Lonchura striata: one gene and its partners. The main gene of each other region encodes a partner of the protein of the gene in region 2 in a complex. Links are inferred from orthologs where the notes say so. Each region holds a gene or a part of one and is shown on either strand. Other genes may lie near its edges.

Region 1 (7,760 bases), on a different chromosome or scaffold from region 2:
AGAATTAAGAAAGCCAATATAAATTTGTAATTATGCTAAATGTTTATATTCCCAGAAGTCTATAATTAGTTTTGCTGCCTCTCCAACACAGTACTCATTCAGCTTGTGCTGTAAGATGCAGTTCGCAGTACTGCATATGTAGCTGAGGAGTTTGAAGAAGCTGCACAGCTCCCATCCTCTAGGGAAGAGCAACAAATGCAACAAATATTATTTAGTTTGCAAAGTCATCTGAAGTAAGTACAACAGTCTAAGTTGTTCCATTCTTATCCTATATCATTCTTTCTTTGAAACCACACCTTGTAAACATGAAATATATAGCATGTAATCTGTGTCAGACAACCTCAAGATCCCTTCCAAAAAACCTAAGGAGACTGATTCACAGATGTACTGGAACAGAGAACTCTTTTTGCAATCTGGCGCCTTGGTATCTTTCAGAATCCGGGATATAGTCCAAAATAACAAAAACTAGAAAAGGGGTATTATCACCCTTGCAGCAGTCAGAGGCTCCAAGGTAGTAGAAATAGCAGAGCGCGAGTTCTAAATTGTGCTTCAGTCTCCAAGCAGCTAAATTAGAGTACACCTTGATGCATCAGACACACAAGCAGGTGCTTATAAAAGGGCCCAATCCAAATGCAGTAGGAGTAACCTGATAAGACTTACATCATTATACCTTTTCTCAGCATATGAGCATATGAACCAAGGCAAAAAAACTTGATTTTCTTTCAAATGCTGTAGCCCACAGACAATAGAACTTCATATTTTCATTCAATCCTCTGTCTGATAAGTCATGATTTTTTTTCCTTCCTTTCCTCCAAACTGCAGCATTACAGATCTTGGTGGATGAGAAGTGAAAGAACATGCAAGTGGGCTGATAGCAATTTAGGAGTATTAAAACACAGAGAGGAAAAACGAGAATAAGCAGAATTATATGCATCATTTTTTGTGCGGATGAAAAAACCAGCTGAAAGCACAAGAGTGTGATATAAAGCATGCCCATCATGGAAATCAACAAAAAAAGAACTATGAAAGAAAGTAAAGGGAAAAAAAAGTAGGATAGAATACATTAAAAGCAGAGGGAAACAGATTTTGCGATCAGCTATAGGGAAGAAAAAGACTGAAGGAAAATTTGTGAAACATTGAGTTAAAATTTAATATAGTGTACCCCAAAAGGTGAAGCAAACCGGTCTCAAACAGGAAGTGTTGGGGGGGGGGAGTTGATGGGTGTTCCTCCACTTGGAAACTAGCTGGCTGAAACTAACCAAATTTGACAGAGGTGTAGAATTCTCAAAGATACCTATAAAATGCTAAGTTCATGAAATCAAGATGCTGTGATTGTCCTGACCAAGGGAAAGGATTCAGAATGCACTAACACCCTGTCAGACATTAGACAATCCACAAAAGGATGAGACTGTACTAAAAAAAAATTCCATTAGAGCTTACAACCACTCTCAGGGTTTAAAAAAAACCCTGAACAAATCCACACAAAAACCAAACAAAACAAAACAAAAAAACCAAAACAAAACAAAACAAAAAAAAAACCAAAAAAAAACAAAACAAAAAAAGGTAAAAGCCAGGCTTCTACTGCTCAAGGAACCACTCTTAAAATACTTCTTCCTCTTTCCTTTCACCAGGGAAAAATACATGGTAATACTTGGTACAGTATTTACCACCAGGAGTAACAACAAACAAGTGTTAAAAGGCCCACTTGATATGTTAACTGTCTCCCTTGCTGTACAAAGGGAGACAGTTTTTGCTTCTCTTGCTTTAATTTTCCAAAGGAATGTAAGTGACTGCAAGGAAAAGCAGCAGTGAAAAAGCTGGATGGAAAGCAAAGCCAAGCAACCCAAACCATCTCCCACCCACTACTTCAGTCTGCCTCAGAACCAGCAGCATCCAACGCATAACAACACATTTTATGGAACTCGGTTAAAAGGGAACATACAGCATACAGCAATCAATGAGCAGAGCTTTTTAGAAAAGCTGTATCATCCTTTCAGTTTGTTTTATACCAATCAAACTCTTTTTGAAATTACAAATATGCCATTGATAGTCAAGATAAGCCAGCATATTAGCTCAACACAAATGACCAGGAGCAACTCCTCAGCTTTTCTGACAAAACCAGATTTTAGATTATGGTGTATATTAGCCATCTACACTTTCAAAGCATAGTCAGGTCAGTTTTTCATACCCAGGAGTGACATTGACTTGCTTGCTGAAAATTAATCTTTGCTACTATTTAAGCAACGGGAAACTTCAGACAGTATTGCCCTGAATGCCTTCACATGTATTTGCTTATCTACTACTGCTGGTACCAGAAAGGCAGCTAATTTAAACCAGTAAGTGATTTTCATAGGTTCTACAACAAAAGCACCCAGAATCCCAGATGATTACATTTCACTGGCAAGCAAACTTGGATGCTTGAATACAACATAGTTGAACATACTTATGTCAGCCACCAAAGCTTTGTGACTCAAACACCTAAAATTCAAGGTTAACAAGGCAGAACTACTTTAATAATTTTCAACACAGTTCTCCAGATGAAATATCACACACTGGTTGCACAAATAGGCCTTGAAATTTTTCACTTTTCAGGAAGCACACCTTTAAACTTCAGACAATACCTATGATCTGCATGCCAAGAGAAAAAGGAATGCAGTCATATGGAATCAGTTAACAATTGCTGCCAATAAACCAACTGACTGCAGGGGAAGAGCCCCTTTTGATATTAATAAGCAGTGATTCATGTGAAGCTTCATATAGCTTTCCTTACTTACGGATTCATCATCCATAGATTTACCATTAAAAAGTCAGCTCATTACCATATGAAATGCTAGTTCAGTGCAGCATATTTCAGTTGTTGGAGATGCAAACAAAAGGTCTTGGTGTTGAAATGTGTGGGACTTTTACCTAAATCCTGTCCTAGCATACAAAAACATAGCATACCTGTGTCTAATAGAACAGATCTTAATGCAGCAACTTGCTCCACTCCACACTACCAACACTTTCTATATGTCCGCTAGATTTATTCTAGCCTTTTTTAAAAAAACAAATAAAACCAAGTGATACCTTCTCAAGCTAAGAAAACAAATATGTCAAACCGCGACCGCTGAGAAGGGTGGAAAATTCAAAGTAGAGCATTTAATCAGATTAAATGCCACTGTGTCACAATTAGATGTCACTGTGCGCTCACTTTAATTCTGAAAGCACATGCAGCTCGAAGGGAAGTCACGGCACTGTACCGCTCCAGGTGCAAGCGCGTGCAATGCACGCACCTGGCGTTACAGCCGGCCCTCGCCCGGCGCTCCGTCCTTCCCGTTTCTCCTGCCCGCGGGCGCAAAGGAAGGCGTTCGGGAGCGGGCTGGGAGAAGTTGGAACCTACGTGCTTCTCCTCGCTCCCGGCCATCCCCCGCGATCTCCAAGCCCTCCTAACAATGGTAGCAGTGTTCCAGCGGGCAGCTCTGCCCTGGAACCGGACCGAATCCCCCTGCGCCCCGGCCGGCGGTCCCGCCGCCCGTCCGCACCTCTGCCCTGGCCAGCCCCGGCCCCGCGGCGGGGAGGGGAGGGGGCGCCTCTCCCGCACCTGGCGGCGGTGACGTCACCCCGCCGCCCCCCGCCCGCCCGCGCGCTGACCCCGGCCCCGCTCCGCCGCCCCTTCCCCGCCGAGCGACCCCGCCGCGGGCACACGGGGCGGCCGACAGCGGGAGAAGGAGAGGGAAGCGCCGTGCCCCGGCACAAGTGCGGCCCCCTCCGCTCCCCCGCCTCGCAACACGCCCCCCTCATGCCCCTGCCCGCGGGGGCTGCGGGGAGACGGAGGAAAGCGGCTCCGCGGCGTGCTCCCCGCTTCCCTCCATCACACCCTCCCGCCGCCGCCCCCCGCGCGGGCGCGGACAAAGGGGAGGGGACCGACACCTGGCGAGCGCCGGTCCCTTTGTGGGGTAGGCGCGTCCCGCAGCTCCGCGGGCGATGGGGAGCGGGGGCCGGTCCCTGCCGCCCGCCCCAGAGACCGCGAGGGAAGGAAGGCAGGGGGGCGGGGGGCACTTACTCGCCTGCCCTCGCTGCGCACCTTCACGCCGCTCAGCCTCAGCCCCTCCCTCCGCGGCCGCCGGGCGCTGGAAGTTCAGGCGGCGCCGGCCATTCCCAGCCGGCGGCTCCGTGTTTCGGGGGGCGGCGGCGGGCGCGGAGCGTCCCCGGCGGCTTCACAATAGACACCGGGCAGCGCGCGCGTGTCTCTGTGTGTGTGCGCGTGTGTGCGCGCGCGGGGGGCGGGGCCTCTCCCGGCGCGCCGAGCCGGGCGGGAGGGAGCGGGGGGGAAGCGCTGTTTACCCGGCGGCCGAACCCGGCCGCCCCCCCCCACCGCCCGACGCTCGGGCTGGTCCATGCGCCGCCGCCCCCCACCCCGCGGGCGGGCAGGTGGTACAGTCCGGCCCGCCGGGCTCCCTCTCCCCGGCGCGGGTGGGGCGGAGTCCCGCCGCTGTGACGTAACAGAAGCCGGCTGTGTCAGTGGCCAATCAGCGCGAGGGGGCGGAGCTCCCCGTGCACGGCACGGGGCCGGAGTAGGCGGGAGCCCGCGGATGACAACCCGGGGTTTTGCAGGGCTGAGCTCTGCGCTCCGCTGCCTTCTGTTGAAAAGACAGCGAAGACGCTTTGTGTGGGGGAAGAAGCGGGCGGCTGGGGTTCTCCCCGGGAGGTTGAATATTTCCCCCCCTGCCGCCGCGCAAAGTGAAGGCGAGCGCCGGAGGGGAAACTTCCGAGCGCGGCGCCGCGTTGCATGCTGAAGCTTGTAGTCCTACTATGGAGTCCTGAAAGGTTAAGCACCATCAACAGCCAAGTGGGATGTTCTCCCATCAAATGCCTGTATATTCTGTAACCAAATTTAACCTTTAGAGTGTGTTTTCTATTTTGATAAGCCACAACTATAAGACGCAGCTCCACTCCTCTCCTGCGGGGGAAGGGACGCCTCGAGCCTTGAGGAGCTGCCAGGACCTGTCCCTCCCGTCATCCCCCGCGCCAAGATGTCGGCGGCGATCGCCGCGCTCGCCTCCTACGGTGGCTCTGACTCGGAGCCCGACTCGGAGCCCGAGACCGAGGGCGGCTCCCAGCGCTCCGCCGCCGTGCTCGCCAGCCGCGATGCCGTGCTGCACCTCCGGGCGCCGCCCGCCGCGCCCCCTGCCCTGCCCGTCGATGCGGCCCCGGAAGTAGCCGTGAAGGTAGGCAGCCCCCGGGCCCGGGCCGCCCGCCTGCCCGCGTTGTGTCCGCCCCGCCGGCCCGGGACAGTGCTGGGGGCAGCCCCAGGCTGGGAGAGCGGGACGGAAAGGGCGGGGTGCCGGGAGGAGTGCGTTGCCGTCACCTGGCCCTGCCCTGCCTTGCCTGGAGGTGTGGGGGTCGGAGCTGTGGCGGTGAGGGCGTGGGTCGGGGAGCTCCCGTGGATTCCAGCCGCGGGGGTCAAGTTTATCGAAGCGTGCTGACTCCATCTCAGAGCGTGCCTCGATTCCGATTCTTTAGATACTTGTTTGCTGTTCCCTATGTAAGGTGTTTTCCTGTGTGGCTTTTCCGGGTGATGGGGTGAAGTCGGTACTTCGTAGGGTGGCTGCTACTGAGTCGTCTTCGAAAGGGCAGCCCGAAAGCTGATTGGTGTTTGTGTTTCGTTATTGCCGGGGGAACCTTTATTTTCCAAGTTCAGTATCCCATCACTTTTGTGATACCAGAAGGGGAGTGGGCAAGGTGCTGGTTTAGCTTGGGAATTTTTTGTACAGGCAATAAATTACTAATCAAAAGCAGGCATCTTGCCGTGATAACTGTTGTTACTGTCCTGCTGTCACATGCTAGAAAAGTTTCTTGCCTCGTGACCAAGAGGTGGATGGACTCCTTCAGTTTGTTGTCATTAGTTAATTCCTGTCACAATTTATCATATTTTTTTGTAGATGTTGTGTTGTGTATAGTGACTACATTTGTTTATCTCTTAGAGGCTTGGAAATCTGGCTTCTCAAGTCACAGCATCCAGCAGGCTGTCTTGTGCACATTTGAAAAGAAGCGCCGATTAACATCTATAATATTTGAAACATAAACTTTAAGGAATTTAGAGATTTCAGAGGAGCTAAGATTTTAGTTAGAAATAAGCCTTACTAGAGTTAATTAAAATAATAATAATAAATGAGTAGGCCTTGATGAAGTTAGGAGTTAGTAGTTAACTAATAATTGATTGCTTGTCAGCACAGTGTTTAGTTAGCTGTGTTTATAATGAAGAATATAGAAACTGACAAATAGTGTTTAGGAACATAAGACAATTGTGGGCCTCCTCTGTTCTGAAACCAATTGAAGACAAGGAACGGGAGTTCTACCAAGAGTTCATTTGTCATATTTGCATTGAAAAAGTAGAAAGGTCAGAATGAGGAAGACTTCATTTACTTCCTCATTTTGTGACCCCTCCCCATGAAAGGGACCACCGACCCATTTCAAGGGACAAACTACTCATGCTTAATAGCTTTTGGAGTGATTAGCATACAAAGCGGGGAATGGGATGTGTGGGAACTCAAAATGTCTCTCAGACATTTTTAGAGGTTCCAGGCCTTGGTCAGAAGAATTTTAGACCCTGGCAGGCAGCTGAAAACAGCTGTGATTTTGAGTTTGAGCCATGGAATGAGTTACCAACTTTGGAGGTGGAACAAGCAGTCACAAAAGGTTAGATACTATAGTAGAAGTAATTACAAAGTTGAGGGGAAAATTTTTTAGTATTGTACAGGGGGATTTTTACTTTGTACATGGGGGTCAGAAGTTCTAAGATGGAGGAAAGTGGGCTGATCCTGTTCTTCCTCCTTCTTCTTCCTTGCCTCCATGTTCTTGGTGATGTTGGCACTCACGGATTGGTTTAGAGTAGAAAAGCACCTTGTAATATAGGTAGTAGGTATTGGGGGAAAACTATAAACATGTAATACGTAATATATCATATAAAAGAAAGCAGCAGCCCTGGGCGGGGGGAGAAAAGAAGAAGACAGCAAACAGGGAGGGTGTCAGGAGTGTGTGTGTGTGTCTCTGCCCGGGCCACTGACCAAGCAGCCGCAGCCCGAGAAGACAATCTTTTAGATAATTAACAATAAACTGCCTTGAGACCGAACAGCAAAAGCCTGCAGAGTTTTTCTTTGGAAGCACAAGTTGGAGGAGGAATTTCAACACCACATGGGAACCCAGAATAAGGCTGGGGTTCCCACAGGGATGTACCAAAATTATGAATATGTATTTGTATTTTGGGTATTCAATACTTGTATGGATAAAGACTCTGTAATCACCTGGAAGGTATGGTGTGTATTTGGGAGCTATCCCACACACTGCCCGGCATCAAATAAACATACACTTTCTAACTTTAAACTGTTAGAGAGTTTTTGTCCATCACAGTTGGATACCGGTACTAGATCAATATCCGTATTTTTTAATAAATCATATTTCCTGAGTGTTAGTGACAAGTGGCAAGTAGCACTGGATGTGCTTTCCACCACCCTTAAGCCTGTAGCAGCAGGTTTTACCTTTGCCTTGCCAGCACAAAGGTTTATGTAGCTCCTCAGGACTGGCAACTACTGGCAACCACAGCTTGCATTTTTGGCAGTTGAGAGTGTGAACCTGAAATGGTTGGTGTTCTCCATTGTAACTGTTTCAGCTGTTTCTAGTCCAGAATTTTGGCTTGTTAACTGTCCAAAGACTTACGTATGCTTTAAACAGGAACCTCACAGGTCCTCACTCTTGAATAGCAGGTTGTTAGCACATTCAGC
Region 2 (7,940 bases):
ATTCTGGAAAAGCTTTAGAACCAAACCTGTCCCAGCTGCAGCAGAAAGTTGACACTGGGAAATTGAATATTTGAGCTGAGACTTCTTTGATACCAATCACCTGCAATCTCCTAGTCTGAGACAGACAGCACAAAAAGTGACTGAGCTCTCTGAAAAAGCCACTCCTCCTTTAGGAGAGTGTCACATTAAGCCCTGTGCTGACCCAGAGATGGGGCAACTGAGAGGTGTTTTAAAAACTTTTATTCCATTCTCAGTCTCATGTGAAGGGTGAGATAATGCAGTGTTATAATTCACACCCTCACAATCAGAAATTAACTATTTCCTAATTACAATACATTATAAATGTTTCTTGGCCTATCAGCTTTTGGAGAGTGTCCCTGTTGAGTCAGGAACGGGTAATAAGTGACACAGACTCTAGGTCAGAAGGCTAATAACCACTTTATTAAAAACCCATTCCTTTTTATACTCTGTTTCTCTACAGGTGGACCTGATTGGTCCTTTAATTAAAACACATCACCATTGGCTAATTAAGAACCCACCCTTTTGGTAAACATCTTATGAGGAAAACAACTCATTACAAAACACCACCTATGGATTGTTTTAATTCTTTCTCTCCAGCTCCCTCAGACCAATTCATGGGAAAGCTTATCTAGTGTTGGAACCCTGGATGCTGAGAATTTTAAATTTTCTGTGCTGAAAGGCACAGACCTGCAAGAGAGCACTGCATTGACCTGAGGCTGTGGGGAAGGCTTCCAAAATTAATTAGCAGCACTGGGATTATGGGTGTGGAGTTTGTTGGAAGTGTGGAATGTCACAGGGTGGAAAACTTAGAGTTTGGGGTTTTAGAATATAGAAATAAATATGAATCAAGATGGAGGTTTTAGAGCTGAGGCAGGTTGTTTTTCACCTTCTTCTTCCTTCTTCTCCATGGGTTTGGGTGGTGGTTTGTAATTGGACAGAGTAGTCCACAGTGCAGGCTTCAAGGGATCAGTTATTGGGTTAAAAAAGAAAATAATTTAGCTGTCATTTCTTAATTGGATAGTTTAGCCTCAAAAGACCTTGTAACGAGAGATAGTTGGCCATTTTGTGCCTGGTTAATGAAAGACTGCAGAACTCACTGCTGTGAGACTGGAACATTGATAGGAAATTATAAACACCTGAGTCTGAACATGAAATACCATCTGAAGTGCCTTCAATCCTGACCCAAATAGAGGTAGAAAAAGGAAGCAGAAAACCTACAATCTAGCTTTCTCTCTCTCTGACCAGATTGTCACCTTGTCTTGGTTTGGAAAGACAGGTGTTTGCTCAGAAAGGCAGGAGCACCCCCTGAAATGAAAAAAAAAAAAAACAAAAACATGTAAACCCCCTCTCTCTGAATTGTTATCAATTTGAAATTAAAGGGGCTCTCAGGCAAAGATATGGGAGCAGGAATAACAGTTCTTTTATTAAGGAAGAAAATAAAAAGACAAAATAAACAATGCAGTGAACCAAAACAACACTGGCAGAGTCAGAACACAACCTGACACCCTGTTGGTCAGGGTGTTGGCTGCAGTCCAATTGGGAATTATGGCTGCAGTCCTCCTGGAGTGGCAGGTGTGGTTCTGTTGGAGCAGTGTTCCTGTATGAAAGGGTGTAGTTCCACAGAAGGGTGTAGTTCCTGTAGAAAAAGATGTAGTTCCTGAAGAAAAGGGTGCAGTTCCTGTAGAAAAAGGTTTAGTTTTCCTCTGAAGAGGCAGCTGTTTCTCTGGGTAATCCAGTGCAGGAAAAGCCATAATGGTGTTCCAGAAACTCAAGATTATATCCAGGTAGAAATGCTCCCTCCGGGTGGAGCATCTCATAATGGGATGCTGTAACTTTTATCAGTCGTGGTGTGACATTCAGTAGCTCGTTATCAGCAGATGACTCCCCTGAGAAAGGACTGGTTGTGGAAGAGATAAAGAAAACTGCCCAATTAACAGAAGACAACTGCCTCACCTCTAACAGACAACAACTGAATGCATCTTGCCTCGCAATCTATGACACACATCCTCAGGAGAGGAATGACCAAAGTGACAAATGTCCTCCCCACAGGTGCCACGACCCTGAACTCCCTGGTCTCGGAGGCTTTTGTGCAGTTCTTCGTGGAGATCGTGGGGCACTACTCCCTGCACATGAACGTGACGGAGCAGGGCCAGCGCGTGTTCCAGCGCGAGCCCTTCCGCAAGTCGCACGGCTCGCGCACCGTGCGCCACTTCCTGCACTGCTTCATGGAGACGCAGATGTTCGCCGGCTTCATCCAGGACCGCGAGCTCAGCAAGAGCCTGGCCAAAGGTGATGCCCTGGGAAAGAGCTGGGCAGTGACGCTGTCGAGGCAGGATGGGAATGAATAGACTGATGGAGAAGGCTGTGAGAGTAAAACTCTGGTTTATTCAGAATGCACCGCTCTTTATACAGACAATTCCATTGGTCCCGAAGTGAGAACAACCACACCATTGGTGCAGAGTGCTTGACGAACAGTGATAGAACTTAACTATAAACAATGTGAACAATAAGGAGATAAACCTCTTATTTACATTATTTTCCAGCAGATTCCCAGCCTTCTGCCTGGTTAGAAACTTTCTGTTTCTCTCTTTGAATCTGAGACCCACAAGACAGAGCTAAAGAATAAAGTAGGGATTTATTAAAAGGATCTCCTCAATGGATCCACCTTGGCAGCACAAGAGCCCAGCCAGGGCTGCACCCAAGATGAACCAAAATGGTCATAAAAAATGGACAACTGGTCACGAGGTCTCTCAATTTTATAAGTTCTGCTCAATTTGCATATTGGAGCTAATTGTCCAATTACAGCTCCAGCCCATGAAGTCCCATCCTTCTTGTTTTTCTCTCTTCATCCCACGTTGTTTGTGCTTTTGGGCCTGAGATTTGGATCATTTGTCCTTGGTCCCCAGATAGTGAATTGTTTTGTCTCCCTGCTCTGTGCAGAGAGCTCACCATCCCCTAATATGGACCCCAGACCCACACACTAAAGCAGCACAGAATCTGAAAAATATAAAAGCCAAAACCTGAGGCATCAGTGGCATTGCCCTCTTGTTTCTTGTTTTGGCATCACTTTCTTGTTTCAAGTCTGCTCCACAGACTCCTCTCGAAGTACAATGCCACCTGCCTCTGCTGCTGGAATTCTGTCACATGGAATAGCCCCATGCCCTTCTAAATTACTCAAAAGAATTCAGTTTATAAAGCAAAGAATTTCTGCATCTCTGTCCTTTCTCCTTGATCCTGCAGCTTACACACACTGTATGCAGGATTTCCTTTTGTGGCCTTGTTAATCATGATGCCACGTGCTAAATGGTGGAATAACTGATTTGGTGAGTGATTTTTAATTTTTTCTTCTCTTTAGGCCTTTTTGAGGTCCGTGCCTTGGAGTATTTGGAGAGTATTCCAGAGACAGAACGAACTGGAATGAACAAAATCCTTCGCAGCCTTGGTAAAGGAACACCCCTTGCTTTTGCTCATTGCTTATTTTTTAAATTAATTGTAGCTATTGAATAATTCACTTGTTACAAAAGAGAGAAAGGCTTCTCCTTCTGTATCTGGGTTCCCTTGTTTACATTTACTCCTTCAGGGGACACTGAACACTGTGTAAGATTTTTCTTTTCTTTTTAAAATATTGTATCTTTAGATGAAATTTGTGGAAGTTGCTGCTCTGCATGCTTGTTCCTTAACTTTGGTCCTGGCTGGGGACATGCCCAGGGGACAGAAGTTTTGTCTGCTGGCAGAGGTGGTCATGTGTGGCTTTCCACCTTAAGTTCCTCTGCCTGATGAGTCCTGGAGTGTCTCCATTTCACAGAATCCCACAATGATTTGGGTGGGACCAGTCCTGCCATGGCTGGAACACCTTGCACTGTCCCAGGGTGCTCCAAGCCCTGTCCAGCCTGGCCTTGGACACTTCCAGGGATCCACCAGCAGCCACGGCTGCTCTGGGCACCTGTGCCCGAGCCTCACCACCCTCGCCTAAAGCTCCTAATGCTGTTTTTTCTCTGCAGGCAGTAAAATGAAATTCCTCCAGAAAAAGTGACCGGGCGCTGCTGCGGGACAGCGGCGGGAGGGGGAACGCGGACCCCGCCGGGGCCGGACCGAGCTGTGCCCCGGGAGGGCCGGGCCGGGGGCTCCGGGTGTGCGGCGGGTACATGGATCGATAACGAGTTCCATGGACCGATAACCAGCTCATGGACCAATAACCAGTTCATGGACCGATAACCACTTCCATGGATTGATAGCTGCTCTCCTGGATTGATAACCAGTTCCATGGACCGATAACCAGTTCCTGGACCGATAGCAGCTCATGGATCAACAACCGGTTCCACGGATCAATAACCAGTTCCACGGACCGATAACCAGTTCCGTGGATCAATAACAGCTCATCGATCCAACCGTTCACGTGTCTCCGTTCCTTAAGGGGGCGTGGCCTGGCGGGGAGGGCGTGGCCAGGGCTGGAGTCGCTCCGGGAGCGGCGGGACCGGGCAGGGAGGGGCGGGGCCACGTCGGGATCGCTCCGGGAGGGGCGGGGCAAGGCCTGGAATCGCTCCGGGAGCGGCGGGGCCGGAGCTGGAGTCAAACCGGGAGCGGCGGGGCCGCGAAGGGGCGGGGCTTGGCCTCGGAGGGGCGGGGCTTGTTCTCGGGGGGCGGGGCTTGGCCTCGGGGGGCGGGGTTTGTTCTCGGGGGGCGGGGCTTGTGCCCGAGCAGCGCACCGCCCCGCCGGGCGTGACGTGTTTGCGCACGCGCAGTGCGCGCGGCCGCGGCCAAGATGTCGGGCCCGGGGCTGGTGGCCGGGGATGTCGTGGTGGATGCGCTGCCCTACTTCGATCAGGGCTATGAGGCGCCGGGCGTGCGGGAGGCGGTGCGTGCGGGGCCGCGGCGGCGGCGGGGAGGGGCCGGGGCGGCGGGCGGGCTGTCCGCCTGCCTGACGCCCCGTGTGCGATAGGCCGCGGCGCTGGTGGAGGAGGAGACGCGGCGGTACCGCCCGACCAAGAACTACCTGAGCTACCTGCCCGCGCACGACTACAGCGCCTTCGAGGTGAGCTGAGGCGGCCTGGCAGCTCCCAGAGCCCGGCCCGGTGCCCCCATACCCCGCCTGGCCCCACTCCGTGACCTGGCTGGGACAGACCCTGCCTGTCCCCGTCCTTGCCCCGTACCCCTCTCGTGTGCCCGTACCCCTCCTGTGTCTCTCCGCCCCTGCCCCGGCTGTCCCTCCGCCGTTATCCGTTTGTGTCCTGTCTCCATCGTGCCCGCTTGTCTCATGCACTGTTCCGCCCCTGTCCCTCACTGCTGCCTTCCCCGCAGACCGAGATCATGCGGAACGAGTTCGAGCGCCTGGCGGCCCGGCAGCCCCTGGAGCTGCTCAGTATGAAGAGGTGAGTGGGGCCGGCAGGGCAGTGCCTGTCCCGGGTGAGCCGTGCCCGGTGTCCCGGGTGAGCCGTGTTCAATACTTCGGATGAGCTGAGTCTAGTGTCCCAAGTGAGCCATGCCCGATGTTCTGGATGAGCTGTGCTTCATTTGAGCTGTGCCCGGTGTCTCGGGTGAACCGTGCTCAGTGCCCTGAGTGAGCCGTGCCCCAGTTGAGCTGTGCCCCAGTTGAGCCGTGTCCCATTTGATCCATGCCCGGTGCCCCAGGTGAGCTGTGCTCCATGTGAGCCATGCCCCATGTGAGCTGTGCCCTGGGTAATCCATGCCTGGTGCCCCAGGCGAGCCGTGTCCCAGGTGAGCCGTGCCCAGTGCCCCGGGTGAGCCATGCCTGGTGTCCCAGGTGAACTGTGCTCCATGTGAGCCGTGTCCTGGATAATCCGTGCCCGGTGCCCCAGGTGAGCCGTGTCCCAGGTGAGCTGTGCCCGGTGCCCCAGGTGAGCCGTGTCCCAGGTGAGCCGTGTCCCAGGTGAGCCATGCCCGGTGCCCCAGGTGAGCCATGGCCCAGGTAATCCATGCCCGGTGTCCCAGGTGAGCCGTGCCCGGTGCCCCGTTCCCTTTGCAGGTACGAGCTGCCCGCCCCCTCCTCTGGGCAGAAGAACGACATCACGGCGTGGCAGGAGTGTGTGAACAACTCCATGGCACAGCTGGAGCACCAGGCCGTGCGCATCGAGAACCTGGAGCTCATGTCCCAGCACGGCTGCAATGCCTGGAAGGTGTACAACGAGTAAGGCCTCAGCTGCTCTGCTGAGCACCAAGTTCTGTGTTGATTTCTGTTTGTTTATTGGGTGTAAATCCGGTGGGGATCTCTAAAATGTAGCCTGGAATAGATGAAATCCTGTGAGAGAGCTGTGAGTGAAAGAGGAGGCTGATCTCAAAGCTGTCTCTGTGGCCAAGAAACAGAATGTGTTTAATACATCCCACTCTTGAATGTTGTGGGTTATTGTTGATGCTGGTGGGTGTTAATTAAGGCTAGTGATAGCCTGTGAAGAAATAACTCACTAGTGGAAATGGAGATGAGTTACTACAGATCCTGGGCTTAGCCTGGAGCCATAATAAAGCTGCTGCAAAAGCTAAGAAGAGGTTGTAGAGTATGGCTGCAGGAAGTACTGGGGTTAATTCAGAGAGAGAATGTTAATGTCCACTTTTGAGAAGGGTTGGCTGAGCCTTAGATAGAAGAGTAGGTCAAAGGAATGCCAAACGTAGCTCAGGGAGAAGGCAGAGGGTTCCTGAGCTCAGGAGAAGGGAAGCAGGTAAAGGATCTGCTGGCTGGAACAAGGTGCTGCAGGGGCTTGTTGAATCCTGAACTCTGAGAAGTTAAATGTCAGATGAAATGGGGCTGAAATTTTAGCAGTTGTGTGTTTTTAATGCTTTGCTTGCATTCTGTCATCAGGCACCTGGTTCATATGATAGAACAAGCCCAGAAAGAGCTTCAGAAATTGAGGTGGGTCATTCTTATTTATATTTTTGTACTGAAATTGGAAGTGAACCTTTCTCTCCCCCCAAGCTGTACAAAGGAAGATGTGTATGCTGGCTGCTGCCATGGTCACAGGGAAAAAGACCCAGTAAAAACAATGATGAAGAAATGTGACCCTTCCCTCCCCAGTCCCATTCATCATGTCTGTTCTACTCAAAATTCTGTGTTTGATTTGTTTAAATCTCTGCTCTGGATTTGTGGAACCCTCCCTGAAATGTAGCAATGCTTTAATTTCACTACTGATAATTTAGTGTGCAATTGTCTCTGTAAGGACATCTTCCCTGATGTTGGGTTTGGCCTTTTACTTTTATTTATCTCAGGGCTCTTTGTGAGCCCTGTACTGAGATTTGTCCATCTGGATGTTGTCATTACAGTCCTGGCTACACAAATATTTTCTGGCAGTACTTCTAGGGATTGAGTGTACTTGGAAATTAGCAACAGGTACTGCAGATGCCAAAGAAATGAGGAAATAAAAATGCATCCTTTTCTCCCCAGGAAAAACATTCAAGACCTGAACTGGCAGAGGAAGAACATGCAGCTCACAGCTGGGGCTAAGCTGAGAGAGATGGAATCCACGTGAGTGTTGATATTTCTCGGTTAACCCTTCCACAGCTTTCTCCATTGCTTGAAATTTACTTGAAATTCTTCTTCCACTTGAAATTCAGTGATCCTTTGGTGCTGCTGTAGGATACTGTTGCTTTGCAGGAAGTGTTTTAAGGTATTTGTAGTTTGGTTCCATATTATATTTACTGAAATTGAGTGAATCAACAGGTAGGAAAAGAGTGTATTTATTAGCTGCTTCAAATTTCCTAAATTGTCTTAAACTGTTCTTTATCTCAATATTGGCAGTTGGTGGATGAGTCTAGTCATTACATTTTTTGTGTTTTCAGGTTTAACAGGGTTAAAAATTATTCATTGTCACTTCGGTTGTTCCAATGACCATTGATGTCAACTATAGCATTATTTGGTGTTTCTGCTAGATTTGAAGGAATGGTTGTCTTTGATTTTTAACCAGAGGACGTTT
Region 3 (7,688 bases), on a different chromosome or scaffold from region 2:
CCCTAAAGTAATAGGGCAATATTATTGTAAGTATTTAAGATGCAGGATGCTTAACAAATGCATAGTATTTTCTCAGAAATAAGTAATGTCAGACTGATCCTGTGTTTGAAGAGTAGCCTATGAGGAGATCATAGGGTCTAGCTGCTTCATTTTTTTAATGGATTCTGGAGTATAGTTATTTGTGCTGCAGTCAGTGTCCAGCTGTTTTCAAGACTGTTCCAAGTCTTGTGTTTCTGAGGTTGTGCTGGTAGTGCTGGATATGGCATTTTGGAGTATCAACAGCTGAACACACTGGACATGCACCCCAGATAGTTTTTATCTGCTGTGCTGGAGGCTGTAATATAATGGCTAGTGACACAGCACTTGTGGCTCTGATTCTGCAGTGTGTGACTGCACATTGTCTTTTGGTGCTGACTTTAATACCTTTCTGTCTAGAAATGTGAACATAACCTGAGCAAACCAGAATTCAATCCAACATCTATCAAATTCAAGATCCAGCTGGTTGCTGTGTAAGTAGGAAATGGGGGCTGGGGACAGCAACTCCCTGCTTATGCTTAGTTAATGCCTTCTATTTAAATTTCCTTTGACCTGTTGTGGGATTGTATCATCCCTTAGGATCATGTAATCACCTTTTTTAATTATATTTAGCTTATCTGTAATAGGCTGGCTTGCTGATCTACTTAAGATTTCAGCAGTTTGACAAAAATACTGCATGCTGTGCCAGCCGCAGACTGTAGCAGGGTTTTGTAGGATTAGGGTTATGCTGCAAAATGACCCTTCATTTTTCCTTTTAGGAAAGCTCTAATAGCTTTACAGACAGCAGCAGAGTCCCTCACAGTCATTTGCTCTGTTATTTTGTAGTAACTACATCCCTGAAGTGAGAATCATGTCTATTCCCAACCTGCGCTACATGAAGGTCAGTAGCTTTTCCAGAAGTGTCTTAGGCTGAGACATAGCCAGGAGCTGTGAATGTGGGAATCTTTTAGGAAGATGACATGGTGTGATGATTGTTCCCTGAGGGCTCCACTCACTCCATTTAGAGGGTACAGGGTTTAAGGGAGTGGCCAGAGTAACACTGTATGTACTTGTCACTGCAGCAGTAGATTGCTGTGCAGTGTGACATCATCACTTGCCAATGTCTGAAGAATAAAAGGTGTGAAACTGAGATTTCAGCTAGACTCCCAAAATACATATTTCTTATATTAATTAAGAGTTTTGCATGGCATTGGTGCCTGTTTTATGAACAGGGGGTAGTCTCTGTCCATCCATTGAGAGGATGTGATGCAGTTTTTGAATGTGTTGATGAGTCAGAGAAGATGGAGATGCTTACAGTAACAATGAATTTTCATACAATTGCTTCTTGAACTTTGATTCCTGAATCTCCTCAGGAGAGCCAAGTCCTTCTGACTCTGACTAATCCCGTGGAGAACGTCACACATGTCACATTGCTGGAGTGTGAGGAGGGAGACCCTGATAACATCAACAGCACTGCCAAGGTATTGATTGTACCCTCCTGCTGGGTAAGTCCAAGCCTCTTCCAGGGTTTGCCACTCCCATTTGTCCTTCCACAGGACACACTTTTCATATGTCCTTCAGCCCCTGCTAACTGTGCTGCCTTTCCCTCCTTGGAGCTTAAATGACTGTCACAATTGTGACAGCAGCTCATTAAGTATTTTGAAATTGTGTCAGTTTGTTGATATCTAAAACCGAAGGGAGAAATTTATTATTTCACTGTCAGGATGGTAATCAAGCGGTCCTGAAGCAGGGAAAAGCTGAGGATGAATCACTTTTCTGTTAAACCACAGTGAAGCAGAACTCAGAAGAGAAGAGCCCTCTCCTGCTTGCAGTGCAGCTGATGATCAGTGCTGAAAGGCTTCTTTCTCTCCATGCTCTGTTTCAGGTGGCAGTTCCTCCCAAGGAGCTTATTCTGGCTGGCAAAGATGCTGCAGCAGAGTATGATGAGCTGGCAGAGCCTCAAGACTTCCAGGATGACCCTGAGTGAGTGTCCCGTGGGGATCCTCTCCCTTAAAAACTTGTCTCTTTGAGTAACTCCCTCTCCTCCTGTGTGCCTTCAGTGTGGTTTGAGTTCCTTTGAGAGCATTGTTCTGCTTAGAACAATGCTTTGAGAACTTGGCTGACCCAGTGTTCCTGTGTGTTCTGCCTTGCAGCGTTATTGCCTTTAGAAAAGCCAATAAAGTGGGAGTTTTCATCAAGGTCACCCCACAGAAAGAAGAGGGTGAAGTGACCGTGAGTTTCAAGATGAAGCACGAGTTCAAAAACCTCACTGCTCCCATCCGGCCCAACGAGGATGGTGACCACACGTCGGAGGTGATCTGGCTCACCCATCACGTGGAGCTCAGCCTCGGCCCCGTGCTCCCGTAGCGGCTCCCAGCGCTCGCTCCCGACGGCTGGATGGACTGGCACCCGGAGAAAGCACCTGGTGGAAGGTTCTGCCAGAGCTCCTTTGTGATGTGTGGGTGTGCCACGGGCCCGGCCAGCTGCCAGGAGGGGGCTGAGGCTGCCGTGGTTTGGGCTGGTTTGTTTTCTCTCCCCTTGTCGTAGTGCCCACTAACCACCACTCCACTTCCCCTCACTGCCACAGGCTAGAGTAACTTGCAGCACGTCTTAGAGCACAGAAGATCTTCCTCAACAGATGATTAGGGCTGAATTTGGATTTAGCAGCAGAAAAGAACCCATACTGTTTTTTTTCCCCGTGTCAGCCCACAAAGCTGATGTTACATACCCAATGAACAGCTTCTCTTTCACAAAGGGCAATGCCCTGACCAAACAAACAGTTTAAGGAGTGTCCCTGCCTTCTGCATTCTGGCAAGTTACTGCCAGCAGCATGATCTTTTCTCTTGGTTTTCTGCTCTGTCATAGAATACCTCAACTGTGGGGGCTGGGCCATAGGGCCCTACCCCTCTGGCCTATGTAGCTTGCTTAGCCAAGGTGGTAGAGGTTTTTTCACAAAGGAGTTGATCAGTTTGCCTTTAAACTTTAAACATAGTGTACTGTAGTGTTCATGGATCTGACTGGCAACCAAGCCCACCATCAGACCGCTGCATCTCAGCTGGATGTGCACAGGATGTGCTGAAAGCTGGGAATTCAGGTTCTGCTGCAGCTCTTGACTGAGGCAGGAATGCTCTGGAGAAGCAGGGATGCTCCAGAGAGGCTCCCTGGCAGAGCTCAGCTCAGTAAATGTTGTGTTGCTAGGGGTTGTAGCAATGAGGTTATGAAACGTGAAGCGTTAAGATTAGTTCTGGTAATTATAAAGCTACAGCAGTGATTTGGGTTGTAATCTTTGTTTTTCCAGTTAGGGCGGGTGGGAGGGAGGTGTAAAGGTGGAAACTCATTATATGTTAACTACACACACTGTACCAGAAGGTCATGTACCCCAGGGTATAATTTGGCTGCAGTCCAAGCTAAAATGAGTGATTAAGAGCTGTGTATCCAGGAGACTGGCTTACCAAGAAGTGCATGGCTGGTGCAGGCAGGTGAGATGGCTCTTCCTGCAGAGCATTCCCACTTCAGACGTTGACCTTTGTTAAACATTTCTGAGGGGCTTTGACGTGCTGCTGTGCTGGGAAAGGCTTGAATACCAGCCAGCCACGGCCGTGTCATGATGCTTGTGCCATGGCTCTGGCAGCCTGCATCTGCGAATCCTCTGCGTGGAGGGGCAGGATGAGGCTGCCTGCTCTCTGGGGGGGTGGTGCAGCATCCCAAAACATCTCCCCTAGCGCAAGGAACCTGCTGTGGTGTGCTGGAGGGGCTCACAGCTCACAGGCCTGGTCCCACAGCGGGTCTCTGCAGCGAGGCATCAGTTTACAGCTCTGTGTAGGTGACACACAGATGTACAGCATGAGTTAGAGACTTGTAGTTAGTAGTTAATGTGTAGTGCTAGTGCCTGCTGCGGCTTTCCCTGTCTAGATAACAAAGCACTTCACCTCTGTCCACAACTTCGGTTCAGTAGCCAAAACAGCTGCTGCACTTGCTACCACAGAAAGACCTCCCAGGAGCCAAGCCTAGAGCTGTGCCTGGGGCTGGGGTTTGCTGCAGGCAGTGACCTGCGCCCTTCTCGCTGCAAACAAAAGGTGCATTGGGTTGTGTCGCTCTGACAGCTGGGCGAGCTCTTCTCTCCTAGGCCATAGGAAAGGCATTGGCGTCTCCCTGCGTCTGTCCCTGCTCCGCCACAGGCGCCTGTTGCCTGATGCTTGACGTCGTGTAGTGACCTTCAATAAACCACACGTGGCTCTTGGATTCTTTGCGCTGGCTTTTATTCCAAAATTATCATTATTTAAACAAAACAGAGGGCGGAGCTCCCCCGTCTTTTCCCAATGGTCCCGTCCCCGTGCTCCCCCCGCCTCCTTTCCCGTGGTCTCGCCCGTGGAGCTCCGCCTGGAGCGCCGCCTGCCGCCGCGCGCGGTGACGTCACCGCTGCCTCAGCCCGCCTTTTCCGTCACGGCGCTGCGGGGTGTGGCGTCACTTCCGGCCGCCGCCTGCCGGCGCGGAGCGCGGCCGCCATGTCCACATCGCTGGGCTCCAACACCTACAACCGCCAGAACTGGGAGGATGCGGTGAGCGGCGCCGCGGGGGCCGGCAGGAGCGGGCCTGGCCCGGCGGGGCCCTGCTCCGCCGCGGGAGGGGCGGGGCGGCAGCGCCGCGAGGCGAGCAGAGCGCGGGGAGGCGGCCCCGGGGCTGGGACCTTCTCTGGGGACCCGCGCTGGGGACCGGCCCTGGGGACCGGCCGTCCTCCCTGGGGACCGGCCGTCCTCCCTGGGGACCCGCCCCCTGCGGCCGAGCCGCCCCGGAGGGCTCCACCGCGGTTCCCCGGCTCTCCTTTCGGGCAGAGGGGACGAGCTGCTCCCCCGCGCCGCGCTGCAGGGGCTGTGGCAGCTGCGGGGCCCGAGCTGGGCCCCTCGAGTGCCCCTGGCCGCGTCCCCTCCAGCTGGAGCCCTTCCCGAGTGGGCCCAGTGCATACAGTCGCTGCTGAGGCATCACGGGGGCCATGTCACCTGCTGCAGTCCAGGCACTGACAGCTTCAGATCTTAATAATCTCTTTTTATTTGCTTATTTTAAGTTTTACAACAAGCTGCAATAACAACCATAGTATGATTCTATATTAATTTCGGTCTGGGTCGTGGCTTGCAGCTCTCCCGGTGTCTCTGAATCCATTTGCATCTTTTAATCATCTGATGAGTTAAACTAGATCATTTTTCAGAGTGTAACTTGAATGCTGTTGTGATGGCAGAGCTTGTGACAAATTCCCAATTTTCTTCTTGCTCAATTCAGGACTTCCCTATCCTGTGCCAGACGTGTCTTGGAGAAAATCCCTATATCCGGATGGTATGTGCCTCTTGGAGCCTGCAGTCCTTCCCTCTCTCTGTGGTGGCCCTAAAACTGTGGGCTTGGGACTGAAATCGGGCTGGGTGCAGGAGGAGATGCTGTGCACACTCCTGAACAGCTGGTTCTGCACAGCAGGGTCTGGTTCCAGCTGCTGTTGGTGTGTAATCTCACAGTTAGGGTGTGAATTAAGAACAAATCAATCACGAAGGTGAGGAGATTACCCAGCCCAATGTCTGGAGTACAGGAAACAGTAGAAAATGAAATTTTTGTATTGGCAAGCTCCAACATGGACAGCTGTGAGGTGCTCAAATTCTAATCAGTGCAATTTCTAAAATGTGACAGACATGCACCTCTAAAGTCAAGTTAAAGGTAACTTAGGAAGGTAGCTTAAGTTCCTGCTTGTTTTCCTGGGTTTGCTTTGTGCAGGGTGAGTCAGTCCATGTTCTGTTGCTTTTCTCTGCCTGCCCGGGTTGCCCATGACCTACATTGACATTATCTCCTTCACATTCGTGTTCCACAAAGTTTGCTGAGGGAGATTGGGCTGTTCTTGTGAAACATAACCCTGATGCTACTGTAGGGGATATTTCTAAACCCGTTTGTTTCCATGAGTTATTCAATGTAGCATCATCTCGCCTTAAAAAGAGCTATTAATGCTCCTTTTCATTCTCACCTTTCATCAGTACAGGAGGTGGGACTTAAAGTACTCTGTTTTTAATTGAAGTTTCTAAACCAAAAGTGTATTGAGAGTATTTAGGATTTGTATTTTTTGTCCTGTTGACTGTCCAAGGTGTAAGCCAAATACTTAGGGATGAGTGAGTCTAAATGCAGCATAATTATGAAAAAACCTACTGTGTTACAACATCAATGATATGTTCCATGTTTTACGTTGAATTGGTGAAGCTTCATGGTTTTTTATTTTTTATATTTCAGACCAAAGAAAAATATGGAAAAGAATGCAAGGTATGTTTGTGTGTTTTGACGAAAGATAGTCAAAATCAGTGCAGATCTAGGAACAATTCATCTTAAAGATTAAAAACCTGTCAGCTTCAGAAGAGTGCTTATCTGGGTTAACTTAAAATGTTTATGTAACTACATACATTTTTAGGTTAGTCTGCTGTGCTTGTTAGAGTCAGTTGGTCCTAAAATAGTAAAATTATTGAGTAAATCCTGAGTCTGTAAACAAATCTTGATGTTTATCAGAATGAGGTTTTGCAAATACTGTTGTACTATATGTGAAGTTATTGCAGGATTTAAAATGATCCATGTCTTCTTGGGTGAGTTTGTTTTTTTTTACTGAGAAGTGCAAAATACCTGGAGTTTGGGTTTTACTATGTATGTTATTCATGTTATTTGGTGATTTGTGTTGTCTGCCCAAGAAATAAGCCACAATTATTTCCAAGAGCAAGAAACAATCAGTGTTGCCTGGACTGAGGGAAATTAAAGGAGGCTTTTACCCTTTTATCAGTTTCCATCTGAGGTAGTAGAGAAAAGGTATAATTTGGAGTCTGTACATATTGAGATTGTATTGTGTACTCAAGGTGTACATGCAGAGGAAGCAAATGCCTCATTCCATGAGATAAGAGGGAGCATCACTCTTCTGCACCAAAGCTGTCATAAGCTCTTCCAGGTTGCTGCTGTGCTGGTGCCTGATATACCCATTGTTGTAATTCATCTCTAGAAGCTCCACACTGACATCACCTGGAATCAAAGAGAATTTGTAGATCTTTGAGTAGATCTGCACTTGGATTATTGCATTAAATAAAAAGAAAAGCAGCAACAAAAAAAAAACCAACCAAAACAAAACAAAAATTTCTCTAAAACTTTTTGTTGTCAAAGTAAAACCCCAAATAAAAACAAATATTTTATGAGCTCCGAGTCTTAGCTTTAGGACAAAGGAGTTGTATTTATGGTTTGGAGAAGCTGGATGAGTTTGGAGTTTGTTTCCATGCAAGAAGCAGAATGGCAGCTCTGTGTAGAGTGAACCCAGTGCCACCCTTGTGTCCCAGATTTGTGCCAGGCCCTTCACGGTGTTCCGCTGGTGCCCCGGGGTGCGGATGCGCTTCAAGAAGACAGAAGTGTGCCAGACCTGCAGCAAGCTGAAGAATGTCTGTCAGACCTGCCTGCTCGACCTGGAATATGGTGTGTACCCAAAAACCTGATCCAAGACAGGGGGCTGCCCTCTGAAGTGGGAGCTGGTGAAATCACTTTAAATGTGTGCATGTTATTGTCACTGGACAGTCTTTGAGAAGGACAGGTCTTGGTGGTCATATCTCTTCAGAGGTTCAAGTGCAGAGTTGTTTCCCTGAGCAGCAGATGATTTACCTCTGGTCACTGCAGGTTGCAGA
Region 4 (7,646 bases), on a different chromosome or scaffold from region 2:
GCGGGGGAGAGGGAGGGGAAGATCTGTGCTGGGGCAGGCAGGGCTACAGCTGCCTGCACCCCCCATGCCACCATTCCCCATGGCCTTGGGAAGCTCCTATGCTGGGGACATGCAGCAGCTGTTCCAGCTTGGGCAGAAAACCTGGGTTGTGTGGGGAGGGGGCAGCTTCCAGGACTTAGCTGTGGGGTGTCAGGGCACACCCAGTCCCGGCTGGGACACAGCCCCCGAGTGCAGGTTGATGCTGGCACAGGTGGGGATGTGCAGCCTCACAGATAGATTGGTAATTTGGAGCATGAGTGAATTCTGGGAGCATTTGCTGAGCTGGATAATAACGTGCCCAGTGAGCTGCATCCCATACATGCTGCCAAATTAAAGAAATTTTTTTCTCCTTTAATTTAAAAGTCACCGTTGGGAAATCTCCACTGGCCACAGCAGTGATTTCCCCTAGGCTGCCTTTCTGGAGAAATCTTTAATTTTGATTGTCACACTTTGTGGAGTTTATGTCAGGGAAGTAGAGCCATAAATAAGGTGCTGCTTCAGCACCCAGCCTCCAACTGTACCAGGACAGTGAATGGCACTGCCACAGGTGGGGAGCAGGGACAGCCTGACCACAGGCATCCTCTCCCCTTGCACCTTCCTCTTCCCTCCCCACTCCAGCCCCATCTACCCTCAGCTCAGTGCCTGGCTTCTCACAGCCTGATTTCACAGGTCAGCAACCTTCAATTTCCTGGGCCCATCCCCACCCCTCCCACCAAATGCTTCACAGGTTCATGAAAATCTCATTAACCATAACACCACAGCTGGGTTCCTGTGCTGGCACTGGAGCCCTCCAGCTCCTGCTGTGCTGTGCCCTGGCATCCAGCACCACGGGACCCCAGGACCAAGCACACAGGGATCCTGGCCAGGAGCTGTGCCAGGCTTTCAGGGTGGGAAGGTGGCACTGGAGAGGGAGGGCACAGGCTGTGTTTTGCTCCATGCTTACAGCTTCACAGCCCCAGCTCAGCTGCTATGGTGCTGTGGGGCTGGAATGGGTGTCATAGTCAGACTGGGGAGGTGGCAGCTCTCAGGGCTACCCCAATGCCTCCAGCTCGGGCAAGCAGCACACAACCCTGATAAGGGGCCTGTCCTCTCCCTCCTGGGGCCTGGGGAGGGCATCTCCCAGCAGCTTTTGAGTAATTAAGAAGCGGGAAGGGATTCAGGCAGCTCCCTTCGGCATGGAGCTGGCACAGTAGTGCCGGGCGAGCTCAGGAAAGGTTACACCATTTGCATTTTACCCTTCAGTAATTCCAACACTTACGGGTGCAATTAAGCAGCAGCCTGGTGTTATGAAGCTATCAGGGCGGAGAGACCTGAATTCCAACGATCTCCGTGTGCGTGCCTGTCCCAGACTGCTCCATCTGTCTGCGGTGACACCGCGCGATGCCGGTGGGTCACAGGGACGGGCTGTGATTCCATCTGATGAACATTTTTCCCTTGCTGGCACCCAGTTTTGGTGCTCTCGGAGGCTGAGCACACGGAGGGGAGTGAGTGTTGGGATGGTGGAGCAGGTCCAGGCTTGTGCCATACTCGTCACTACAATAAAGCATCTGATCTGACGGTGCCTCGAAAGAACAGCCCCTGGCCTGCTTTGTTTGGTGTGTGACCCCCTGATGTGGCAGGGCTGGATGGACCACGATGCCTGTGGATTCTCTGCCGTGGAACAGGGTCTCCTCAATGTTCAGCAGCCCCTACCCTCTGTGGGAGGATGGGGGCTCTGTGGCCATTCTCCTTTCCTGCTTCAGTGGGACAGCAGGCTGGGAGAACTGCTGCCTTTCCCTTTAAGCATCATCCCTGCTTAATTCGATGGTTTTGAGTCCCGGCTCATGATTTCTGCAGCAATTTGGGCTGAGATTTCTCTCTTTCCCTCCATTATCCACTCTGATTAACTCAGCTGGCCCTGTCAGCTCCCATTCCGGCGCGGGAGCCCTGTGAGAGCCTGTTAAAATGCATGAGCCTGTGGCAGTCGCTCCACTGCCCAGCGAGGCTGAACTGAGGGAGGGGGCTGCAGGCAGCAGGGTGGTGGGGCTGGGGACTGTGGGGGTCCAGGGACAGGGTGCAGGTGCTGTGGGGGTGCCAGTGTCCCCCTCTGTCAGTATGGGGGTGTCCTGGCCAGAGTTGAGCCAGGGGGAGACCCTGTGGGGTGCAGGACCCAGTCCCCCCCACATGCCAGGCTGTTGGGCAGCTGAATCTTCCCCCATGCAAAGGCTCGTTTCCCATTGCAGCTCTGACTTGTTCCCTTTTTCTCATTTTAATAAAGACGAAAGCATCCGGAAACGCGGCTGCACCCGCCAAAGAGCGAGATCTGACATAATTAAAAAGTGGCTTCAATCAGGCTGTTTTCCTAATGGTTTGTCATATCAGCCCGCACGGCCCTGCACCCCCTGTGCTCCCAACCCCCTGAGGCATCATTTACATTTCTTAATAACCCCTCATTAATATTCATGACGTGGGGAGGGTAATAACGGCTGAGTGCACACCACTAATTCAATTTCAGCGAGCCTCTGTGTGTTTAGTTAATCACTGGGGGACCTGGGTTACTCAGTACAATTATTTATTCGGAATTAGATCTCGAGGCATCTGGATTGAAACCTGAACTCGGAATAAAATTAAACCAGGATTCTCCTCCTCTCCTCCTCCTCCCACCTTCGCTCCTATCCATGGTTCTGAGCATCCCCTGCAGCCCTGCTTTGCTGGGATGAGGATCTGGCGTTTCCATGCTGAGACCATTGCATAAGCCTCACCTGCAGCTGCTGCTGGGTCCTGGCTCCTCTGTGCCCCTCCAGGGAAAAGTGTCAGCAAAGGCCTGGGGACATGGTCAGCCCTGAGGGTGGCACCCCACTGCCTGTGGAAGTCAGGAGTCCTTGTTCTCCTGACCAAGCCAAGTCCCAGGGTTTGCTCCAGCCTATCCAGAGCCTTCAGCCTCTTATCCAGCTTTGTTGCATGTTCCACCTGGGAGAGGCTGGTGCCAGCCCCAGCACCACTCAGCTTCTCGTCTCCATCCTTCATTTATTTGAGAGCTTTTTTAATACTTTGGTTTTGCTCCTGGTTTTGCTTTTTAATTCAGTATTTTGTCCCTGTGCTCCAACTCACCTTATTGGATAAAAATTCTGTTATTGCATCCTGCCCTGTAGGACTGGATGAGAACTGAGCGGTGCCTCAGTTCTTCAAATTCCTGCTTTTGTTTTTTTGAGTGATCCCCCGACCTTTGAGTCCTGTCAGGGAGGTGAATTGAACATTTTCCATCCCTTTTTTCATCGAGGCGAACGCTCTGGCTGTGCTCAGGTTGGGGCTCTGCTTGTCAGTGATGATTTTTGGCTTCCCCCAGCTCCTCCCAGAGCTGCTCCACTCAGTGGGAATGAGGTGCAAGGGAAGCCCTGGGGCAGGAGCAGCTCACCATATTCTGTGTCTGTGGGTGGTCAGTCCTTATCCCCAGTGCTCTCCATGTGTATGCTACACCTGCTTTTTGTGGTTATCCCTGGGTGGGGGGGGGTCAAGCTTCCCAGTAGCTGAATCCTGTTCCTAGTATGTGCCAGTACCCCTCAAGGGTCTCAAATTGTGCAGGTTTCACAGCTGGGGAATTATCTGAGCACTCAATATCCCAAAGCCAGATGAGCTAATAATTATCTTCTATTTATCTCATCTTTAACATGCAGATTTGTTGAGTTAATTTTGCCATGACCGATCTCCTATATTTTCTTGAAACAACAGGGGACGCGAGGGACTCCTTCAAAAACATTATATATTTTTTTAATTTTCTGAGATTCCTCAAACCAGACTCCCGCTGAGATAACTGCGTAAGAGCTGCGATCATTATAAAAAAATTATTTTAGCTCAAAACTGTTTTTTTTTTTTAAAGCATAGCTGCAATAAATTCAGTAGGATTTTGGCCGAGTTGCCTCTCTCCTAATTATTCTTATTTGTTAAATTGAGAAACGCCTCAGTCTGTGCGGGGTTCTGCATCTTGTGGAATTGCAGGGCGGCTTGTCACCAGCTCGGCAAGCGGAGGGGCCGCCGCTGCCGCGCTGGGAGCCGGCTCCCGGCGTGTTTCACGGTGACAACGGCTCCCGAGGGGCTGGGAGCGGCAACAACCGCGGCAGCCTTTGGAGGTGGTGGGAACGTGCCACAAAAGAACGCCGATCCCGCGGGCCCGGCGGTGCGGGGCGTCGCCTCCCCCGCCGTGACAGCGGCGCCCGGCCCGGGGCACAGCGGGGACGGCAGCGCCGGGGCCCGCCTCGCCCGTGGCGAGCGCCCCTGTCCCCGGTGGTGTGTCACGCTCTCGGCCTCTCCCCGCCCTGCGGCACCGGGGAGGCACCGGGGAGGCACCGGGGAGGCACCGGGGAGCCCCCGAGCCGCGCCCCGGGCCCCGCCGGCGGCCCCTCTCCCCTTCGCGACAGCGCCGCGCTGCTTTACGGCAGTGTGGCGCCTCCCCGTCTCTCCCTCCCCGGCACGGCGTCCACCGCCTCGCTTTCCGGCAGTGTGGCCCCTCCCCGCCTCTCCCCGGCACGGCGCCCACCGCCTCGCTTTCCGGCAGTGTGGCGCCCCCGCCGCCCGGCCTGCGCTGCCTGCCTTACGGCAGGTGTCGCGCGGTCCCGGTGGTTTGCGACAGGCTCCCGGTGGCGGGGCCCGGTGGGTGCGATGGACGTGGGGGAGCTGCTCAGCTACCAGGTGAGCTCGGGGGGCTGCGCCCTGCTGCGGGTGCCGCGGTGCCCTGCGCTCCCGTGGCCCCGCTGCGGCGGCAGCGATGCTGCTCCAGCTCCGGTGCGGCCGCGGGCCCGGGGCGGCCGCCGTGCGGGGGTCACCGGCCCCACTCGGTGCACGGGGTCTGGTGAAAGTGTCGCTAAGTTCTGGGGGTCTCTCCCCTTCTTGTGCGCGGCGGTGCCCGGTAGGAGCGGGTTCCCGGGGCTCGGCAGCGTCGCCGGTCTCGTTTCGGCACAGATCGGTGCCCGCCGGGGCTGCAGCGAGGCCTCTCCTCCTTCCGTGGCTGTTCCAGCGTCTCTTTCTCCCTGTTGTACGACAAAACCTTTTCAATTTCATTTTTTATCAAAATACGTTTTTAAAAGTTTTCTTTATAGAAGTTTTCCTTTACTGGGTGCGTTTCGTTCCCTCGCCCTGCGTTCACTGGTGGCTCGCTGTGTGCAGGTACCGAGTTTTGATTTATTGTCCCAGGAGCAGATTTCCCTGTGGAACAGGGAATGAGGGTTGGAACTGCAGGAACATTTGGATACCTTGGCTGGGATAATGCCGGGCTTGGCTTCAGTTCTCAGCCCGGCTGCAGCCGTGGCGTTTCCCTGGGTGAGGAGAACACCCCGAGGCGGTGTAAGAGTGGCCAGGTGTGCTCCCGAGCTGAGAGCGCAGAATTCCTGGTGGAACTCGGTGCCCTCCTGCTGTGCCTCATTCCGTGGGGCACAGAGATGAAGTGAAGGGGGTGTCTTGCTGTTCACTCCATGTTTGTGCTTTGGGAATGCGTTCTTTGGAGATGCTCAGGGAAAAAAGACAAGTTGCTGTTGGGTTTGAGAAGTTTCTCAGCAGTTTTCCCAATGGTATTGAAGTTTCTGGGGCAGTCTGAGAGCTCCACTGGATTCTTCCTTGATAATCTCCAGGATGTTTCCTTCTGTGGATTGCTCTGTCTCAAACATCCTTCCACACCCTGCTGCATCCAACAGCACAGCTCTGCTGGTCTAAGGTCTACTCCACTTCTGTATTTCCCTATCTTCTTCAAATGTGATTTTTCAACATCAAATTAGAATTTTCATTCCTTACATTCCTTTGAGTCTTTGGCCTCCTCCACCCCATCTGGGGCTTAACAATGCCATCCCTTACATGTCTGGGATGCAGGTTAAGACACAGAAGTTTAACAGGTAAACCTGAATGAATTTTCTCATTTTTTAGCCAAGTTCCAGTTTGGGGTTTTGTTGGTTGTTTTTTCTCTTGCTCTCAGAATGTGAGCTCCCCAAGGTTCCCTCCACTCTGGAGGGGAGTGTCCATTCACTTTGCTTTGCTCACTTGGATTTTGTGCAGCTTTCCCTTGGATGAGCTTTCAGCACGGTCAGGGGGTGATTGCTTGTGACAGTGGGGGCTCTATTCTGTCGAGGTAAAGAAATGCTGCTTAGCTGCAGGGTATCTAAATTTTAATTTCATTTCTTGCTGCTAAAATTGTTCTTAGCTGTGGGGAAAAGCATTCTGCAGCTTTCAGCCAGCTGCTGAAATAGTTCCTGAAGGATTTGTCCTGGCTCTGTGTGCTCCTGGGCAGCACAGCTGAATGCAGGTGCTTCTTGTGTCACTAGCTGAGGTGGTGCTTTAGTGAGCTTTGGAAGCCAGTGGTGTTGAATTTAGACCTCCAGAACTGGGGCAGTGGTGAGTACAGGTGAAAGAAGTGGAGGAGCAGAAGGCAGGCAAATAGCTCTGCTTCTGAGAAAATGAGATTCCCTTCTGTGAGGGCATTTCCTGCTGAGAGGTGGGGAAAAATAGTTGGAAGCAGCAGATTTCACTGCCTCCCATCCTGTGGGTCAGGCTCTGCCTTTGGGGAGGGTGGCTTGAAGAAGATGGCCAGGGGAGGGTGGCTTGTCAGCTCACCCAGCAGCTCCTGGCCCACTCCAGCCCTGGATTTGGGAGCTTCCCTGCTCTGGGCTGGCTCAAGGTCTCCTTGGCTGTCCTTATCGAGGGATGGTACCGGCTGTCGGGGAGGTGGAGTGGTGCCTCAGCTCTCTGATTTTAATCTCTTGCTGCAAATGAGTTGGTCTTCTCAACCTCCCTCAGCACAACCCAAAATAATTGCTTTCCTCTTACACTATTTTGAATTTTCTCCTCTAAATGTGTAATCTGTGCCCTTGCTTCAGCAAGAAGATGTTCTCCCTCAGAGCCAAACTTGGCGTGGAAGACTGCAGGCACCGTGCCACCAATTCAGCACCAAGTGTCTGCCAGAACAGGAAAAGAAACCTCTTGCAACAAAAAATACAATTAAACAGCACCTGGCCATTTATACAAAGCTCAGGAATCCATAAACTTTACGTGTTGCTGCAAAACAGTTGCAGATGGTCTAAAGTGATGATTAAATATTGCTGCTGTTTGCCCAGATCCTCCGTGTTTGGTCTCTGATTACAGAGGGTAATTAAGAGGATAAAGCCAACTCCGGGGCTATTCAGAGTCTTCTTTCAGTTGTCTTGGGAGGGAATAAGGGACATTATTTGAATTCTCATTAAAGGCAGATTTCACCACCGTGGGTGATCATTGCAAAGCGCTGATTTTTTGCTGGAATGTCAGTAAAATCAAGTAGCAGAAGAAGCAGTGAGGGATGGGGTGAGATGTGCCTCCACCCGCTGGGCCATCTCCCCGTGCTCTGTCGGGGCTGAGGGCGGTGTGTGCAGGGATGGATCTCTGTGCATCCACGGGGGCACATCATCATTTCTGCTGCTGGTACGGATAATTTGCTGTCAATTTGCAATGTAATGGATGCATCTGATGGTAGGGGCAGCTCAGCTGAGCTGGTTGTTGACTGCTCACAGAATTATTATCCCAGTAGCTGCTCTCCTGGCGGCAGTTAAAAAAAGGAGCCGACATTGGCTCAGCTGTCTGCCTCATCCCTTGGCTCTGCTCCTGGAGTACAGCCC

What was found.
Region 1: BCAS2 (region 2) and CDC40 share a complex: the UniProt entries of both Homo sapiens proteins name them as parts of the postcatalytic spliceosome P complex. The link is inferred for Lonchura striata from reciprocal best matches to the Homo sapiens genes BCAS2 and CDC40.
Region 3: BCAS2 (region 2) and RBM22 share a complex: the UniProt entries of both Homo sapiens proteins name them as parts of the postcatalytic spliceosome P complex. The link is inferred for Lonchura striata from reciprocal best matches to the Homo sapiens genes BCAS2 and RBM22.
Region 4: BCAS2 (region 2) and CTNNBL1 share a complex: the UniProt entries of both Homo sapiens proteins name them as parts of the PRP19-CDC5L splicing complex. The link is inferred for Lonchura striata from reciprocal best matches to the Homo sapiens genes BCAS2 and CTNNBL1.

Annotation. Positions count from the first base shown.
Region 1 is NC_134605.1:69,081,141-69,088,900, reverse strand, and holds the start of CDC40 (pre-mRNA-processing factor 17), read left to right. Parts: upstream 1-4,620; 5' UTR 4,621-5,012; coding exon 5,013-5,207; intron 5,208-7,760. UniProt on the Homo sapiens protein: Required for pre-mRNA splicing as component of the activated spliceosome. Plays an important role in embryonic brain development; this function does not require proline isomerization.
Region 2 is NC_134632.1:1,994,584-2,002,523, forward strand, and holds the start of BCAS2 (pre-mRNA-splicing factor SPF27), read left to right. Parts: upstream 1-4,737; 5' UTR 4,738-4,783; coding exon 4,784-4,876; intron 4,877-4,960; coding exon 4,961-5,053; intron 5,054-5,319; coding exon 5,320-5,390; intron 5,391-6,004; coding exon 6,005-6,166; intron 6,167-6,832; coding exon 6,833-6,883; intron 6,884-7,411; coding exon 7,412-7,492; intron 7,493-7,940. UniProt on the Homo sapiens protein: Required for pre-mRNA splicing as component of the activated spliceosome. Component of the PRP19-CDC5L complex that forms an integral part of the spliceosome and is required for activating pre-mRNA splicing.
Region 3 is NC_134617.1:6,222,371-6,230,058, forward strand, and holds the start of RBM22 (pre-mRNA-splicing factor RBM22), read left to right. Parts: upstream 1-4,443; 5' UTR 4,444-4,520; coding exon 4,521-4,574; intron 4,575-5,289; coding exon 5,290-5,343; intron 5,344-6,273; coding exon 6,274-6,303; intron 6,304-7,349; coding exon 7,350-7,482; intron 7,483-7,688. Other genes in the region: DCTN4 (dynactin subunit 4), read left to right, coding at 436-509, 862-916, 1,389-1,496, 1,901-1,998, 2,169-2,382. UniProt on the Homo sapiens protein: Required for pre-mRNA splicing as component of the activated spliceosome. Involved in the first step of pre-mRNA splicing.
Region 4 is NC_134619.1:8,136,151-8,143,796, reverse strand, and holds the start of CTNNBL1 (beta-catenin-like protein 1), read left to right. Parts: upstream 1-4,560; 5' UTR 4,561-4,674; coding exon 4,675-4,704; intron 4,705-7,646. UniProt on the Homo sapiens protein: Component of the PRP19-CDC5L complex that forms an integral part of the spliceosome and is required for activating pre-mRNA splicing.